2 linked regions of the Daphnia pulex genome follow. The protein of the gene in region 2 interacts with the protein of the main gene of each other region in a biochemical or structural test. Links are inferred from orthologs where the notes say so. Each region holds a gene or a part of one and is shown on either strand. Other genes may lie near its edges.

The links.
Region 1: the proteins of E3 ubiquitin-protein ligase RFWD3-like (region 2) and replication protein A 32 kDa subunit-like form a complex in vitro, tested with the Homo sapiens proteins (3 studies listed by BioGRID, with this or other methods). The link is inferred for Daphnia pulex from reciprocal best matches to the Homo sapiens genes RFWD3 and RPA2.

What each region holds. Positions count from the first base shown.
Region 1 is NC_060017.1:2,573,451-2,576,956, reverse strand, and holds replication protein A 32 kDa subunit-like, read right to left. Parts: upstream 2,069-3,506; 5' UTR 1,926-2,068; coding exon 1,907-1,925; intron 1,848-1,906; coding exon 1,762-1,847; intron 1,705-1,761; coding exon 1,603-1,704; intron 1,540-1,602; coding exon 1,426-1,539; intron 1,367-1,425; coding exon 1,175-1,366; intron 1,118-1,174; coding exon 965-1,117; intron 904-964; coding exon 824-903; intron 761-823; coding exon 679-760; 3' UTR 501-678; downstream 1-500. Other genes in the region: sodium-coupled monocarboxylate transporter 1-like, read left to right, coding at 1-132, 211-343; CWF19-like protein 2, read left to right, coding at 2,397-2,480, 2,567-3,448. UniProt on the Homo sapiens protein: As part of the heterotrimeric replication protein A complex (RPA/RP-A), binds and stabilizes single-stranded DNA intermediates that form during DNA replication or upon DNA stress.
Region 2 is NC_060027.1:2,170,275-2,174,367, reverse strand, and holds the start of E3 ubiquitin-protein ligase RFWD3-like, read right to left. Parts: upstream 2,801-4,093; 5' UTR 2,366-2,800; coding exon 2,098-2,365; intron 2,037-2,097; coding exon 1,906-2,036; intron 1,843-1,905; coding exon 1,648-1,842; intron 1,586-1,647; coding exon 831-1,585; intron 756-830; coding exon 566-755; intron 499-565; coding exon 342-498; intron 273-341; coding exon 79-272; 3' UTR 1-78. Other genes in the region: nose resistant to fluoxetine protein 6-like, read left to right, coding at 3,114-3,432, 3,793-4,093. UniProt on the Homo sapiens protein: E3 ubiquitin-protein ligase required for the repair of DNA interstrand cross-links (ICL) in response to DNA damage. Plays a key role in RPA-mediated DNA damage signaling and repair.

The DNA.
Region 1 (3,506 bases), on a different chromosome or scaffold from region 2:
GTGGTACACGGTATTGAGCGTGGTGATCGTCTTAATCATTGGTACCATTGGAAGCATTTTGTCTGAGCCGCAAGATCCTGCAAAACTAAATCCCAAGTTACTTTACCGAGTAAATCATAACCGTCTATTAAAGTAAGATAACTTTAGCAAAACATTTTCTACATGTTAGCGAGTTTAGCTTTAATTTTTGAATCAATAATGTTATCATAGTAAAGCGGCACTCCAACCAAGTGATGAAACCGATGGCGCTACGGTTATTCGTAGGCAACGAAACGGGATATTACTGTGGGAACTTCCAAGAAGATTATCACCAATAATAGAAGTAAATTTGCCTGATACCTAACATTTACGTCTTCATTCTATGATGTAAATAACATTTTACTTCGAATGCATCACAAACACTTGCCATAGCAATTAGACATGATCCAGTTATCCGTGGTCATTATGTACCTGATATTTGAATATACTGAAAATGAATTATCCGATGTAGATCCGATGGATTTTAGACGATTTAAGCTTTTATGTTGAAAGACAGACAGAACTGAACCATTTCAAAACAGTTGGAATTAATAGCTTCAGGATAAATTCCGCAGACTGAGTCGACACAGTTTTGAGTATAATGTATCTATTCTAGTAGATATTTAATGAGAATGAAGGTACAGTACATCTTAATCTTGTTTAGCTATCGGTCGATTTGAAATGGTCTTCGTCCACCGTAGAGTAAATATGTCCCTCAGAACAAAGGAATTCCAAAGCAGCACTAATAAAAAATTTAAATTAAAATCAATGAAAACATGTTTGTCTTCCACATCAATACACTTACTCTACATCACGTGGGATCATTCTTCCTCTGACAGAATTGTAGATCTGCGACTTTTCCATGCCGGTTTCCGCTGTTGTTGCCTAAAAATAACATGGTTTTTTATTGTTTGAATTTGATCACATAGATGACAAATGAATCTACCTGAATGATGGTATAAACCATAGATTGAAAAGATGACAGTCCTGACATGATACCGTTTGCCACATTGGAAGTAGCTGAGGATGAAGAAGCTAAAGGCCCAGTCATTCCACCACCCATCACTGAGTTATTCATTGATTGTCCTGTTCCTTCTCCCTTTATAAATAAAAATCATTTACCTTTGTTCAAGCATTCATTTGAGTTGTTCATTACCATTTTTCTCTTCATCTGTCTCAACTTCATACGAACCCATTGCGTCTCTAGCAAGTGGGTTGTTATTTCGTTAGCAGTTGTTAGTTTCGCAACACGAAATGCCATTACGTGACGGCGATCCTGTGTCTGTCTAATAGATCCAACAACTCGACAAAAATTCCCTTCCACAACTTGAAAAGGTGATTGGACATTCTGCAAAAATAAATTGGAATAAATAATGAGTGAAAACATATGCAGAACACAATACATACCCCTTCACCCTCAATCCACTGAACAACTTCAATAGAACCTGTATCATCCCTTACAGTGTACGAAACATTAGTCTGTTTGGATTCAATCTGTTCGACAGTACCTACAAATGTAACCTAAAAGAGATAAGTTGTAAATCATAAGTAAATGTAACTCAAAGTGAAGATAAATATGGATACCATGTGGGCTTCAGTATCTTCTATCTTTAGTTTTTCATCAATTTCATCCAATATATCTTTGATATTAACTGGAATGATATTATGAGCCCGTTGAGCTCCACCCTGTGAATGAAACAAACATGAGAAAATGTCTATGAGATATTAAAAATGTCTTCAAACCTTCTTTTCTCCAGGAGTATTAACTGTGCCTCCTGGAGTTCCAGCATTAAAGAAACCACCGGCCATTGTTCCATTTCCAAAATCGCCTGTAATGGAAAGAATGTAAAGTTAATAACACAAAGCTTGACAAAATTGTATTTATTACTTGCTGATTGATCCCACATTATAGATTAATTCAATTATTCGTTTAAATTTGTCGTTCTCAAAACAAAACGTAATGCACGTGAATCACTTCAATCAGGTATGCAGACGTTGTAACTTGTACTGCGTCTATCCACTGTTTTCTTTTCTTTATAGATGGCGGGAAAACTAGTTTTCGCAATCCGATGTTGACGAGTTGGAAACATTTGATATCAATATTGAATTAAATGGCATCTTTTTACAATTTTTACTACAATTGATAATTTTAATTAACGTTTTTATTAACGTTTTTAAAATTTATTATATGCTTGTAAAAAAAATTAAAAGTTGAACCGGATGACTCTGGTTGAACAAATTGGCAATGCTTGTTTTCGCTTCAAAACGACAGACGTCAAAACGAATGTTTTCGTTTTTGTAAATTTGATTGAAAATAATTTGTGTTGCTTTTCTAGTTTTCTTTTTCAAGTTTTAGCCCATAGAAATAATCCTTTGAAATGTCGATAAATTTTGAAAATTCTAAAGACTTAGATGAAATGAGACAAATGAAACGAGAAGCGAGAGAGGCAATTCTTGCGAAGGTAATACACCATCACATTTCACCAATTTGATTTAATAGTATTTTACTGGTATACATTTGGTTTAGTTTATTTTTCTTTTGTTTTAGGCAGAAAGAGATTATGAGAAAAGGAAAGCTAAAAAAGAATTGGCCAAATTAAATGGTGAAGACAAATGGATGCTGCCTGAGTTGGATGCTCAATTGTCCGGTAAATCCAAAAAAAGTAAAAAAGAAAAAAAACATAAAAAGGATAAGAAACATAAAAAAAGCAAGAAAAAAGACAATTCCTCTGATTCTGATGAATGGGTAGAGAAAACATCTGAAACAACAGAACCCGCTTCATCTGCTCCTCTTGAGAGAGATGAATGGATGAGTGTGCCTTCTTTGCTTCCAATTTTCAGTAACAGTAGCATGCCTCCCAAACGAACATCCCTGAACAAGAATGAAGAAATTGCAAGAAAGACCATGATGGAAAAACCAGGGCAGTCAAGTAGAGAATTAAATCCATACTGGAAAAATGGAGGAACTGGTTTGCCACCTGAAAGAACTGAAGCAGAATCCTCAAAAAGGCATGATAGTCCTAATAGTCATGCAGTATCTTCCAATCCTTCAGAAAGAAAAAAACAAAGAACCTCAGATAGAGATTCCACACATGTTAGTAGCAGAGATAGATCAAGATCCCGAGAGCGAAAACATCCAGAAAACATTAGAAAATCATCAACCGTTCAAGAAAGATTCAGAAGACCAAGTGAGAGTGACGAAGTTGTTTCCCATACAAACAAACGGTTTTATTCTTCGCAACCAGGATGGAAGAAAAATGAAGCCAAATCAAGCAACCCAGTGGATTCATCGACTTCTTCGTCGTCTTCAGAAAGTGAAGAAGAAAAACAGGATACACAGCCACCACAAGAAGATGACAAAATATGGACTGAACAGGAATTAAATGCTCTCGGAGCAAAAATCATCAAAGCCGAAATCATGGGACAAGCGGTTATTTATTATATTTTACGTATTATGTTTTCATTTAATAATATAAATTTGTTTGTAG
Region 2 (4,093 bases):
GTACAAAATCTCAGAGTTTTGGTATAGAAATGACCATAGTGGTAATAATAATTACTGAAAAAGTGAAATATTCCTGGTTTATGTCCACTTGTAGAAACGGGCATTCTTTTCCGACAATGCAGCAACGAAATGGACGCCATTGACGCGGATAGGGAGGAGATCCAAAACGGGATCTGAACAGGGCAGCTTTTGAAGCACTGCCGATGAATTGACGTCCCATAGCGAAATACACTGGGCGGCCTCTTGATGGGCAGCCACCATTAGCTGCTTGCCTGATGCAAATAATTAAAACAAAAATTAATTTGTGGGTCAATTCAGGCGTGAAATAATCAATAATTTACCTTCAGTGGAGCCCGGGGCAGTAAGGAGGCACGAACGGGAGAGCAACTTCTGCTGTGATCCAGCTTGGATGGTCGTAATAGCGTGACTACTGCAAAGGCCGGTGGACGAATCGCTACCCAATGGAGTCCAAGAAGGAGCACAGACGGTATGGCGAGCCTAAATGGATGACCCTTATTACCGCCAGATTCTAATTGAAATGTCAAGAACGAATGTGAATTATTACTTGGGGATGAGCGGTGCTGGGCCTAGACGAGGCCAGAAAATGGCGCGTCTCTGGCTCAATGCAAAGCGATGTGAAGGACCCATCCAAAGGCAGTGTATGTGGAACAAAGCCGTCTGTCCGTGACTCGTGGAAGACACACGACTGCAAACGCTGAACAAAGAGTCCACCTCTGGGAAAAGTGGTCACCGGACTAGCAAAAGAAAATCAAATTCAGTCAATTATCCAGGAACAAAAACAAAATTACATAAAACATTAAAAGGTTCACCTGAATGGAAGGTAAGCAAGTCCAGTGACGGGCGACATGCTGTTGGGCTCTGACCAGCACTCAACTGCATCGCCGGATTTGCGCATATCGTAAAGTAAAACCTTGCCAGTGCCAGTTCCAACGAAAAATTGGTATTTGTTGTCGGCATTCCATGCGCAACTCCAAAGAGGTGCATCGCACTGGTACGAAGTGACTGAGATGTCACTGTGGACGTTTACCAGCTTGGCCGTCTTGTCCAACGAAACAGTCAGAAGCAGGTCGTTCTGTTCCAGGTGGAAGGCCATGTCGCGGATGGGCTTTCGGTGAACGGCGATGTAACCGACAGTGCGAAATCCTCCCAGTGCGTTTACTTTCTTGATACCAGTGCCCGTCAAGTGCGAATTTGTTCCAGCATAAGACACTACGAGCAGAGTTAAATGTTCGCTATAAGACATGACGCGACACTGGCCTTCTTTACAAAGCTCCAGTGTCGAATCCAGAACTAAACGACGGCCTAGTATTCCAGGAGGTTGAGATCCAAATAGAGGACCTGCCCCCGCTAAAGGTAATTCGGCTCCCTGGCCACTGGCTGCTAAACAGGCGCCTGACAAAGCTGCACGGCATTGTTGTAACTCTTGTTGCAATCGTAAAATATCTTGCTCTTTGGCGGTTGTTTGAATTTGAAGTTTGTGATACTCTAACTCTAACCTACGACGGTTTTCTTTCTCCTGCTCTAGAGCTGACAAGGCTCTGTCTCTTTCTGTCGTGTCTATTGCCTGGAAATCAACCATTTTGATATTAGAGTAGGAAACAATTGTTTTTAACAAATTTTAGTTACCTTTAAATTTCTAACATATATAGGCCTAATATCCTTCTTTTGAGCGGACTCATTACACTGTGGACACCTGGCCCCCTTGCCACCAGAGTGAACCCAACGTTCTATGCATGCTTGCCCAAACAAATGTCCACATTTTAACGACACAACTCTGTGGGATCCAGAGTTGCTCCAAACATCAAAACATACTGGGCAGACCTATAACCATATGAATAATGCAGGATAACACAAAAAAAGTACTCCACTTAGCAACAGACTTACTTGTCCATCTTCTTCATCATCTACAGCAGTTTTGTCTTCTTTTTCTGGGAGAAAACCGCCAGCAGAATCTGATTTAGATTTCCTTGAAGGAGGCCCCCCATCTTCAGTTTCTTCATCATCATTATCTTCATCTAATGAATGAGAAATATAAAAATTATTAATGAGAAAAGGGAGGAAAATTCTTTAGCATACCTCTAGGCCTGCGTCGCCTGCCTCTGATCAAAATAGGGGACAATGGTCCATTACTTTCAGCTAAACTATCACGACTATCCTGATCTGTTTGAGCTTCATTCGTGATTTCCAGTTCTACGGTACCAATTCTGTTTTCAGTAGACGAAGGCTGGACAACAATAACACTTGCTCTTTGGTTACGTTGTTCAAGTGAGGGACCTGCAACTTGGACTTCTTCCGGATCAGCAGTATCTAATCTTACTGCTGATTCGTCGATGTCGCTGGCCATACTTGGAATATTTCAGCACGTTTTAATTAACACATTGGGCACGCACGGCACGAGTAATAAATTAATTGAAAACGAAAATGGGCGAGTATATGGTCAACTTGAGTTGGTCAACAAAAATCTTCATAAAGAAATTTTATTGACTACAACTCCATCTTTGAAGCAATGGTGAATCAAATTTACATCCGTCACCAGATGGCCCTCGGAACTTTATTAGCTCATTCATTTTGACATACGAACGGGTCGAACGCCGTGTCGCCGGATCGATTTTGAAAATAACATTTGCTTTCGACAGAGGAAATTCTTGTTTACATTAGAACTCGACGTAAATGGCACTAAAAATCTATTATCAAAGAAATAAAATGAAAAAGAAACGTTTTCATTTACCTCGATCAGAATAATTTACTGTAAACGACTCTGCCTCGACCAATAAATTCAACACTTCAAACATTGTAGACCACGCGGTGCACCAGAAACTTAGACCATAAGGTATGTGTGTTAATTTTTGATTTCATTGTGATCGGTTTGGGATCAAGCGGAAATACCATTGTGCAACGTTTAATCTAGGGGATATAGTCACAAAGCATAGATAAACCACCTTGTCACTTGTTCCAAAGATAAAAAGTTCCAACTTCCAAAGAGTACAATTGTATGAGACTGATGAGATTGATTAAGGGTATAAATTCTCTGGACGTGTTCATTAGTCGTCAGTCAAAAATTTCGGAGCTGTTGTCCTTTTCAGTCACTCGTTATGGGTTCCATGCTGTGGAAGATTACCTTTCTTCTACTTTGGGTAGGAGGCCAGTCTCAACAATTCATAAATCCGGCGTTAATCATTTCACCGGAGAGTGAACGATCTTTTGAAAAGTGGAGGAATATAATTAGCCAACAACTTCAGGAAAGTGGGTCCACTTTTGATTTAACGTCAACACTTCACAACGTTTTCGCCGCACTCAAATCTTCTTCATTCCCAACGGCGGTGGCTAAAAATATTAGTCAACAATGTTTACAAGATAGCCAGTATTACGTTCATAACCTTTACGCCAACCAAAGTCTATGGGCCTTACAAAGTAAGTTGAAAAAGAAGCTGCATTAATAATAATCATGGAATAATATTCAAAACTGAACTATGTGTTTAAAAAAATGTTGTAATAGCGTGTTTACGATATCGTTGAATGACATGGCGGATGTGTGTGGAAGATCTGTCCTATTAGTCATGTTACAAAGGTTGAATTGTATTGATTATTATATTCTCTGTCGTATAAAGAACTGATAATGAAGGATGCAAAAGGTGACTAGAGATTGAACAATGACCTTATTTTCACTTACTAATGACATCTGGTAACGATGATTAGATAACAAGTGATTATCACATCTCGAAATTTGGGACAAACATTGTGTAATTCATTAATTATTTATTTAAAAAATAGTGCAAGAGTCTTCAGCCAAGCTTCCACCGGGGTTATTTGGATCACGTAACATTCACGCGGATGGACTTTTCGATGAATGTCTGGCCGTTCGGGCACCCGGATTCGATGGGCAATACTGCAGCGTCTACTTTCAACCAGTGGCAGTCGATCAGTCCGAAATTCTACCTCCGAGATCATTCAATGAGAACCACGAAGGAAGAAGGAACTTTGTCACTATTTTTCAGCTTTTGGGATTATTGGGATCGGATCGGGTCGAGCCAAAAGTGTCCGTGGCGGATGCCAGCACTTACATTTATCCTAG